Drosophila melanogaster: one gene and its partners. The protein of the gene in region 3 interacts with the protein of the main gene of each other region in a pairwise test. Each region holds a gene or a part of one and is shown on either strand. Other genes may lie near its edges.

The links.
Region 1: the proteins of ac (region 3) and E(spl)m3-HLH interact in a two-hybrid assay, tested with the Drosophila melanogaster proteins (2 studies listed by BioGRID).
Region 2: the proteins of ac (region 3) and emc interact in a two-hybrid assay, tested with the Drosophila melanogaster proteins (2 studies listed by BioGRID).

Annotation. Positions count from the first base shown.
Region 1 is NT_033777.3:26,020,231-26,023,758, forward strand, and holds E(spl)m3-HLH (enhancer of split m3, helix-loop-helix), read left to right. Parts: upstream 1-1,592; 5' UTR 1,593-1,789; coding exon 1,790-2,464; 3' UTR 2,465-2,897; downstream 2,898-3,528.
Region 2 is NT_037436.4:747,805-751,562, reverse strand, and holds the start of emc (extra macrochaetae), read right to left. Parts: upstream 2,164-3,758; 5' UTR 1,900-2,163; coding exon 1,336-1,899; intron 1-1,335. UniProt on the Drosophila melanogaster protein: Participates in sensory organ patterning by antagonizing the neurogenic activity of the Achaete-scute complex (AS-C). It lacks a basic DNA-binding domain but is able to form heterodimers with other HLH proteins, thereby inhibiting DNA binding.
Region 3 is NC_004354.4:368,055-371,587, reverse strand, and holds ac (achaete), read right to left. Parts: upstream 1,558-3,533; 5' UTR 1,495-1,557; coding exon 889-1,494; 3' UTR 641-888; downstream 1-640. UniProt on the Drosophila melanogaster protein: AS-C proteins are involved in the determination of the neuronal precursors in the peripheral nervous system and the central nervous system.

The DNA of each region.
Region 1 (3,528 bases), on a different chromosome or scaffold from region 3:
TTCTTTCATTTTGGAACCCCCAATGCGCCGAGATAGCGAAACTGTTACACTTAATCGATACGCTTCAACGAAAAGTCAACCCACAGCCCCAGCCATAGTGGTGGTTGTGCACTGTGAGAAATATTTGAAAACTTAAAAAAAAAAACTGATTACATTTGAATTCGGTTATAAGTAAAATATCAAAATATATATATTTTCCATTCTTCCGAAATGGGGTGATCTATATTTATTGGTAATTAACATAGTTGCTGTTATTGAAATTGTTTCAAATCTACTTTAAACTCCCAAAAAGACCGCACATTTTGTCCACGTGCAGTTGTCGCAGTCATCATCATCAGCCAAGCATGCGACATAATTGCGCGAGTTAAGGCTGCCCCTCCACCCAGCCATCCCTCACCAGTTCGCCCACTGCCCCCCATTGGCGGCTGACAGTCAACCCGCTTGAAATCAACCAGCAGCAACAGCAACAACATTTCAGCAATCCATCGGATCGCATCACAATCCAGCCATCCGTCCAACGTGTGGGAAACACACGACAAATCTGTTTCCCACGGTCTCGTAAAGTAGGCACACCGCACACACACACAAACACCCATCCCCATCCACTGAGCCATGGGACCCACAATCACATAGGCTACTGCCTCGTAGGCTCCCTCGTGTCTCATTCTCATTGTTGGTGTGAGCGGTACGGAGCAGCGGACTTCGACAGCGAATGGGAGCCGAGCACTGTCATCATTGACAATAAGTATGACATGGATGAGGGGGGATGGAGGGCGGGGTGGAGCGGCCTGAGAGACACGCGCAGTCGCCGAGAATGAGATCCAATCCGAAAGCCGACTGTCGACTGCCGACTGCTCAGTTTCCCTCTGGCCATGCAATCAATTGAAGACGACGCGCGCCAGAGCACCAAAGCTGCAGATACAGATACATTTGTATCTGCGGCGGGGCACGCTCTCGCTCGCTCCCATTGCATGCACCTTGGTTCGAAGTCGACTAGTTTCGGTTAATAATACTAATTTTGGACTAATAGTATTACTTTCAATAAGCAGATTTTACGAAAATAATTGCAGTTTTATTAACTTTGTAAGTGATTAATATTTTTTGAAATTGCTTTCTTTCAGGTCTTAAAATTTAGCAAATTTTTAAATCGTCCTTTTGGTTGAACAATTATGTTGCATACTTTTGAGAGTCATATAAAAAATAGTTGTAGCAAAATATAAAGAACACAAATTTAACACTATTGGAAATGAAAAATATTGATATTATATTCGCATTGCTAAAATGGATTATTTCTTATTTTTTATAATAAGCATAATTAAGAAGGTAAAGAGTTCCATGGTGATGGTCCCACTGTACCCCCTGCAGACGGTACAACCCCCATCATCGATGGCCTACAGTAGCCTCTCTTTGTGCCGCTGCCGAGCGCCGCTACCGATCCGCGACCGAAAAGAACCGAAGTGGAACTCGATCTTGGGCCCGAGTGCCTGGGAGCGTGTGTGAGTGATCATGCGGGAGCTTTGTGGCCGGGAGAGCCTGATCCCCGTTTGCCGGGAGAGCGTGGCTGTCATATAAAAGTAGGGCTGGGAACTAGTTTGCCACTCATTTCGTAAAAGTGCCGCCACTCGAACGCACCGCAATCGGTGGAACGCGCAACGCACGCGCAACAAACTCGTCAAAAAGTAACCAATCTATGAAACCAACCAAAATCAGTAGTGATAATGTGCAGTTGAGAGACTAAATACAAAAGAACAATCCTTAAAATACACAACATAAAACAACCCAATCGATCATGGTCATGGAGATGTCCAAGACGTATCAGTACCGCAAGGTGATGAAGCCGCTGCTGGAGCGCAAACGGCGAGCCAGGATCAACAAGTGTCTGGACGATCTCAAGGATCTGATGGTGGAGTGCCTGCAGCAGGAGGGCGAGCACGTCACCCGGCTGGAGAAGGCGGATATCCTGGAGTTGACCGTGGATCACATGAGGAAACTCAAGCAGCGGGGTGGTCTTTCGCTGCAGGGAGTAGTGGCTGGTGTTGGCAGCCCACCCACCTCAACCAGTACCGCCCACGTGGAGTCCTTTCGCTCCGGCTATGTGCATGCTGCCGATCAGATTACCCAGGTCCTGCTGCAGACACAGCAAACCGATGAGATTGGGCGCAAGATAATGAAATTCCTATCGACGCGACTAATTGAGCTGCAGACGCAGTTGCTCCAGCAGCAGCAGCAACAGCAACAACACCAGCAGCAGCAAATACCGCAATCATCAGGCCGCCTAGCCTTCCCGCTGCTGGGAGGATATGGACCGGCAGCCGCCGCTGCCGCCATTAGTTACAGCTCCTTCCTGACCAGCAAGGACGAACTGATCGATGTGACATCCGTCGATGGCAATGCGTTATCCGAGACGGCGTCGGTTAGCTCGCAGGAGTCCGGCGCCTCTGAGCCCGTCTGGAGGCCCTGGTAATTGGGCGTGCCCAATATGGATCTTATCCCTAATATTATAATCGCAACCCAAAAAAATGGCTATTGACCGTTCTGCAACAAGATCCGTTGTCTTCCAAAGTAAATCATATCAACCTAAGTTAATTGAGGTCTAATCGATTTCTGAATGGTTTTGAAATACTTTTAGTTTTAGTTCCGATAATGGTAATTTGTAAATTAATTGTTTAATTTCAACTGTGATATAACTAAAGTACGTTGATCAATCAATCAGTGAATATATATTCGAGTGCGCTATTTTCCTACTCCAAAAGTTCCCTAAGTTTAATATCTCGTTGCGCTCTCTTTATTGTTTAGCATATATTAAGCTTTAAATAATTTATAAATGTTAATTTATGATTAGTTGAGAAAGAATAATCAAAAATACACTACCCAAATAAAATAAATGATTTAAATTGAAAACACAATGTTTTTCTTTTGCGGGATTTCAAAATTTTATAAAATATTTATTTTGTTATATTAATAAATATAAACAAACTGAACGATATTATGCAAACCTAACGGAATACTGTTCATTCTTGTCCCAGTCCGCCAATGTTGTTTACTGCCCCAATAAATTACCTTTAATTGAACATCACCTCAAATGTATGCAACACATTTTCGACTCGACCCTGATTCATTCCCATAAGCAGATCATCTAATTGGAGCCTGTTCTTACCACCAATCTGATCGGCAATCAACAGATCCTCTCTACCTGCCCGATAACTGGTTGGCATTGTGGTCCAAATCAACAGGCCAAACAACAACCGTCAATATGCACTACCTGCTGGCAGGTAAATTGATCAACAATAAGACCAAAAAAGGTTCAGGATCGAATCGGATTAGGGTCCGCTCGTTTTTCAAATGAGTCATGCCAATTAAGAAAGGACTTCGCTCCCCATTTATTTTCTGTGTTGATTTGTAAACGGAAAATTGTTGGAACAATAAGGGGGAAACAAAGAATTTAGATTCCTATTCAATTATTTTTTTTTTGGGTGAAATGTAACACAATTTTTGGTAAAGATTACCAATTTCCAAATGTGTGATTTA
Region 2 (3,758 bases), on a different chromosome or scaffold from region 3:
TTGTTGTTGTTGTTGCGGCGGTGACACATCATACAAACACAAAAAGTATATATGTTTGTGGGTTGCAGATGTTTTGCAACAAAAACACAAAAATTACGCACCCAAAATGAGAGAAAAGAGACCTACGCAAAGCGGACTGAGCTAAAGACCCACAGTTAATTAATCAAAAATTTAAGAAGTAACTCATAGCCAGGAATGACGAAGGCACGATTTCAAAACCATCTTTCTGAATTTCGAAGAAGGGTTTCCACCTTCACAATTAATCAACAATCAGAGATCGAAAATTAATAACACTTGCCGGGCCACCCAGTCGATCATTTGTTTGAGAAACCCATTGAAAAAAAAGCTTTTTCGAACCTGTTTTTACGAACATATTGTAGATCTCAAACGAATTTTTTCGCCAGCATCATTAATAACCGAAAGTCCAAAAACGAAGAAGTAACGAAGCTGAGAGCTAATGAAGTGAGCCAAAAAATAAACCCAAATGAAATAAAATACGAAGACTGATGATTCCCCAATTCCAAATTCCGTTTTCAAGCTCGCAAGTGCGTGTGAGTGAGTGAGTATGTGTGTGTGCGAGTGTGTGTGAAATAAATTTAAGTATCTGCAGGTGTTCATTTAAAACATCACAACAACAGAAAAAGGCCGCGAGAAAAAATTAACAGCTACGTATAGGCAACACACAAAAGAAAGAAACGATGGCGACAACAACCGCAACGCATACAATCGCACAGAGACGGTCTGTGAAATGTCTATAAAAACGAAATGAATCTGTGCGGCGAAGAAGAGGGTACGACAAAATCGGGCAGGCCGCGTTGTCTAAAGCCACCCGCCCAATAAAGAAATTTCCCAAAACTCGCCAACGAAACGAAACGCGCCTCGTCCTTCCGTTAAAAAAAAATAAAACAAAATGAAAAAAAACAACATTCACGCAAACATTCGTCAATCGCCTTATGAATGAGGTCACTCGCGAAACAAAAACAAGTAAAGCCAAACAGTTTGACACTCAATTGTCTCCTAAATTTGCAATGCAAATGCCAAACAGCTGCGGTCAAAATAATGGCACTCAAGGAAATAGCGAAAATCGGTGGATCGCAAACTTTGCGATATTCGCACTTCCTTATCGTAACTTTAGCAATTAATCGCTTTATTGTCTAGTTGAAACCAGTGAAGTCATGTACTTTAAATGTTTAACTATGTTATTTTCTCAAAAATAACTACTTTAAATATTCCATAACCTTATTATTTCTCCTAATATTTCGACCTGAGCTGTGCTCATCTGCCCACTTCCTATTTGGGTTTTTCACTACCCTAGCAATTTGTTTGTTAACTCACCGTTGCTAAACTGTTGGACAGTTGCTGCTGTGATTGCAGTTGTTGCTGCTGCAGTTGCAGTTGCTGCTGCTGCTGATGCTGCTGCGGATGGGCGGGCGCCACAAGAGTGTTGGGCGTTTGGCGATCGGTAAGCGGGAGACGGGCGGCGGGACTAGAGACTTTCGCCGGCTGCTCGGCATTCAGGCGCTGGGCGAGGATATCTGGATCGACTTCCGCTTCTGCCTCGGCATCCGCATCCTCCATGTCGCTGTCCTCGTCCTCGTGGAGTCCGTTCACCGCCGTCAGAGCGGCTGCCGCATCGAAGTTGCCCATCTCGGGGTGCGTCTCCAGCTCGGTCTGCAGGTCGCAGATGTAGTCGATGACGTGCTGGATGATCTCCAGCTTGGTGAGCTTCCTGTTCTTGGGCATGAACGGAACGAGGTCCTTCAGTTTGGACAGATACATCTTCATCTCGGCGTTCTCCCCGTCGCCGCGGTGCGTGGGATGGCGCTGGATGCGCCCGCTGGCATTCAAGGCCGGCATTCCGGAGGCACCTGTCTGGCAGACGGCCGTCAGGGACTTCATTCTGGAGATGATTGCTTTACGCTCCTTGAGTAGAATCTTGGCGGTTGTTACACGGTCGTACCGGATTACTTGCGAGGTTCAGTTAAAGATTGCTCTTGACTGGCTTTTCAATTTGATTTGATTTCGGCTTTGTGCGCTCACTTCACTTTGTTTTCTCACTCTGTCGATGTTCGAAACGAAACACTTTAATCCAGCGTGTTTTCTGCGTTTACGTTCTCGATTTCTATATCTTTTGCTGCGAGCGGTCAGACAACGAATGAGTGGTGCTCGCTCAGAGCGCCCGCTTTTATACCCCCCGAACGGGCATTTCCGAATCCGATAGGCGGAGTCTTCGCTCTCGGGTTCGTTCGGCTGGAGAGAGATATGTACTTGGTTGGAGAGTGGAGACTGGGGAATGTGTCTCATTGGTGTCCATGTGGAACTTGGACCACAACTTGAAACCGGAATTTAGGAGAGTTCCTAAGAGGTGAGTTGCGGAGAGGTCTGCTTTGGTGGACAAGAATGTGGAATTAAGGGGTAGCCCTTCGTGTTTGGTCTTCACAGTCATCATTTCAAATCCACAATGAGAATGGAGTACGAATTTAAGCCTGAGATCTTAAGAGGGGAAGATGTGTAGTGTGAAGCCCATGAATTCTGAGAAAACTAATTTAAAATAATTCAAAATACAACTGAGGTATATATGCTATGAATTAATCCTTTCGGATACTTTCAGTTCTTGACAAAATATCCAACAAGTTCTACAGCCTGTGTGCCCGAACATCCACCTCATTGACTTCTACCCGAGATACCAAATGAAACTCAACCTTACCACAATATCCAATCCACAAGATACAATCCAAATTCCACACATAGTAGACACTTTTTAAAGCACTAACATTTCCCCTGACTCCACCACGGTCCACAGATACTCACCTTTGTAGACCCGGCTTAACGAGTTCCTCTCCGAAACTCTCCAAACAAATCTGAATACTCTCCACGAGATGCAAAATGATCGGTTTTTTGTAAAGGGGAAATGGTTTTGTGATTGGTCGGCTGCTTTTCTCAGCTGAAAATGAGAAAACACGAACAGTAACTCTCGCTCAATAATTTTCCTCTCACGACTGCAATGTTTGTTTTTCTTTTTTTTTTCTCATGTTTTGTGAATGAGCATGAAAATGAATGAAAAGTGTTTTGTGGGATAAGGAGGTTCCACAATCAACACGAAAAGGCGAAAAAGACAATGCGAGTGGTTCAACAAGGGCTTGATTAATTACAGAATGAATATTAAATATATGCATGGGTAAATTAGATTTTAATCGCTGTGGAATGGTGAAAATTTTAAATCATTTGAAAATAAGAAGAGTAAATATTCATAATATATTATATTGGGCTAGTTAGTAGTAGTTTTCATTAACAATAACTATTCAAATAAACTGATAGCTCGAACAATCCTGTTAAGTTTTCGTATATAGACAAACGATTAAACGGTAGTCGTTCAATTTGTCATATTTATTCCTAACAAAGATAAGCGTTATGCGCCTCCGTTCAATGGAAAACTAGTCGTTATCAGTGGATTGACCAAATTCTTATTAACGAGTTTTCAAACGGCTAAATCGAAATGCACGGCTTATCTGCATCTTATCTTAATTTGAGTCCACGACATCTTGAACACACATAAGAGTTCGAGGCGCCTCGACTTCTCTCCCACTCCATTGCACCGAAGAAGTTGCAGGGTTTCTGGGCAAGAAATCCACGATTGTATTTCACACACATGATGGGTCGACGACGATCCATTGAGGAAATTGTGGAAATTTTCATTGAAAATGAGCGGGCGCGTCGTTGTTTGTGAAAAACGACACGTCTCTCTCTGGTTATCGTCT
Region 3 (3,533 bases):
AGTTTTTTTTGCAGCAGCTTCATCGCGGCGGCTTCCGGTGCAGAATGCCTGAGCAGATCTTATTTTCATTTTTCTGAACGTTGTCGGGGGCGATCTGAACAATTGCCGACCGTTGTTTTTTCGCTTGTTTCGGCTGCATTGCGGGAATAACTCAAAATTAGTTCATTCATCGATCGATCGATCGATCTCTCCGGAATTGTGAATTCTCAGGATCTTATTACCTTGACCGGTTCATATGCAAAAATGCAGCAGGTAAATATTTTGCCTTTTTCACCCTACTCAATCCAACTTTATTTATGCAAATCGGCGTTTTCGATCAAAAGTGTTTACAAAATGTTATTGTAATTTATCTTCATTGGCTAGTGATCTGTAAATACTTAACGGTTACAGTTTCGAATACTTTTTTCGGGCTTACCCCGAATAAAGCGTATACTAGGATCGTTTAAAGGAATGTACCAGGTAAAAGGAAGCGTGTCCTGTGGTATACAGGACAGGATCAAGTTTGTATCAAAACATTGCTACGCCCATATTCATAAAGCATTTGTTCATTAAAACTTTTCTGAATTTTACTCCTTTTGTACATAAATTTGTTTCACTTTAATTACCGTTTAATTTTGTTTACAATAAAAACTCATTTAAAATTTTATATATATCAGTTTAATGTCCTCAATGTATGCTATAAAAAAAAACTTAAATATAAATTGTCTTCCATTAGAAACTATCCTTAGAAACTATATAAAACCTTAAATACTAATTTATAAGGCAAAAAGGTAGTTCTAGGGAATATAAATACTTTGTGGCTGAGGTAATACTTGTTGGCCAATCAATGGTTTGATGTGTGTTATGGTTGGGTGCGACTAGCAATAGCTGAAGATTTGATCTGTTTTTTTACAGGTCGTCCTGCCAGAGTGATATATAGTCGAGGATGTCCTCATCTTCAGTACCAGAACTGCAGGAATTGTTACGGTAGTCTTCAAAACTGGCTTCCAACTTGGTATGAAAATTGTTAGGAGGTGTTGCTCCCGGAATCGTCGATGTTGCTGGCTTGCAATAAGAGCTAATGCTGTTGCAGGAACTTGTGCTGCCAGTTGGAGATTGCAACTGCAACTCTTGGTGCCAGGCGTATAAGTGTTGATGCTGTTGCTGCTGCTGAAAGTGCAAATGTTGCTGCTGCAAATGCAACTGTTTCTGTTTCTGCTGGTCGTTTTCATGAAGAACTTTCTGCAAGCGCCGTATGTACTCTACTGCCATTTTCAGTGTGCTAACTTTGCTCAGTTTTTTATTGGCGCCGGGACCAATTCCCCGGCGACCATTGCTTAAATCGGCTATTACGGCCGCAGGGATATGTTGTCGTAGTTGGCTGAAGCCATTGTTGACCTGCTTTACGCGGTTGCGTTCCCGGGCATTTCTCCGGATAACAGAGGGTCCATTAAAGGCCGAAGATGACTCCTCGTCGTCGTTGAAAACAGAGTGATTTTCGCTGCCCAAAGCCATTTTAAGAGATAGTATAACGTTATTGTGTGACGATGCTCCTTGCTTCAGCGCTGGCTCTGTTCTGATGCCCTTCCCCGTTCCGTTCAGGCTATTTATAGGTATCAGGGCCTAGGGATCCCACCTGCGTGACTACCTACCTGCCCCTGGAAAAGGTGCAACAGCATCATCACTGAAGGATCGTCTCTTGAGATGAGTGTTTTCTCTGATTTTAATAGAGAGGTAGTAATATTATCTCTCGTTCTCTCTGTAAAACGCAGCTGTTGGTGACCTGAGTGTTCCCGTTGTCGAGTGGGAAGAGTTTCTGAGTGTTTTTGCTCATTTTCAGCTGCCTGTCGTCCCCAAACGAAAACCTGGCCCTGTCGCGTGCCGGCTGCCAACCGGTTTAAAAAGGCAACAAGGTCCAGACATCAGAGCCAAGTAAAAACACCTCCGAAGTAAAAAGCTGTATCTCCTATTGAAAGTGGCCATCCAATTTGTATAACTAACAAAATACAACAAAATTAGTGGAATAGACTGTCATTACAATTATAAAAATGGGGACATTTACAATTTATACACTACCAAAAGTGTTTACGAAAAAATAATCTTTAATTAACAAGGCTAGGTATTTTAGACTTTTAAAAAATCTTTAATTTTATGTTAATACATTTAATTTAATTTATTTTATGTACTGATGACCTTCCGATCCCTGGATCATTCGGACATTATCTTAAACACTAGACCATTGTCGCTCGAATCCAAAGTCGTAGGAATTTTCAAGGCCAGCTCATCAACACCTCAGGCGGCGATCCATTCGGTCCTGCAACGAAACCTGATCAGCCGGAGGCACTTTTCTATTAACACTTCTAATGCCCCGGGGCCTTTATGCCCAACGTATCAGTTGTTGTTCCTCTCAGCCGAAAGCATTTTGAAAGCATTTAGGAGGTCCCCATTATTTCTTAAAACCATTGTCAGAATTCTGGTTGCACGCTAGGAAACCGTGCCGAAATAGATTTGTATTGGCACTAACTCACACTGAGCCTCGTTTAACACTTCGTTGCTGTAGCCCCGGGGGATTGCATAGCATTACATGTGAAAAGGACATCACAGGGCATCTAAGCACAGACATACCAGATGTCCAGAGGCTAATAAAATCAAACATATCCGGTCGACCTTGCAAAATCCGTGTTGATGTAATATAAATTTGCCGCGAAGCATTGAGACAAGGTATTCAGTGTCAACCAGGTTTATGAATTTGCAATTTTATTATTATTTTTTGCTTTGAATATCGCTTAGCGCCACAAGTGCTCTTCTTGAGCTTTTCTGCTTGATAACGACTAAATAGTACAATAAATGTTACTAAGACCCTGCGACAGAAAACCGAAAAATCGTGACGGGATAAACTTAAGGGGGGAAGAACTGAGATCTGAATATATGGCGTATCAACCGAATAAAGATGAAGTCGTCATTAATATTGACTCGGTCTGCCGATTACTTGACGTTGTTTCATTTATTCCACACTTCTTAAAGCGGCATGCTTGCGACACAGTAAGGCCTCGATTACAGGACAGCTTCCGTACATTTCAGTACCAATGTTGATCGTACAGGTATTCTAGCCGATAAATGAAAAGTATGTACAAAGTATGTACTCATGTTTATTAGGGTCTTCAAAATTGGGAGCTTAGAACTGTAGAGCCTACGCCTAGGTGCCATTGAATTAAATGTTGCTGCTGAATAAATAAAAAGTCAACTGTCAACTGTTCATGGCCATCAAATTGCCATCCAGAGATTACCGATCTCCGGACGATGAAAGGACGAAAGCCGCCCATGGTTTTGGTTTTGAGTCCCCCAACTTCCCACTCCATATAAATATCTGATTTATGAGAGCAACGCGAATATGTCAACGAAACGATGTCACATCTAAGGTGAGCGTTTTAACGCCGCCAATTCTATTTGGTCGATTTCTTATATCACCACTGGCAATAATATTTATGGCCAGGAGCAAAAGCCAAGCTCCTTTTGAAATTCAACGAAGAAAGATGGCGATTTTTGATTAATTG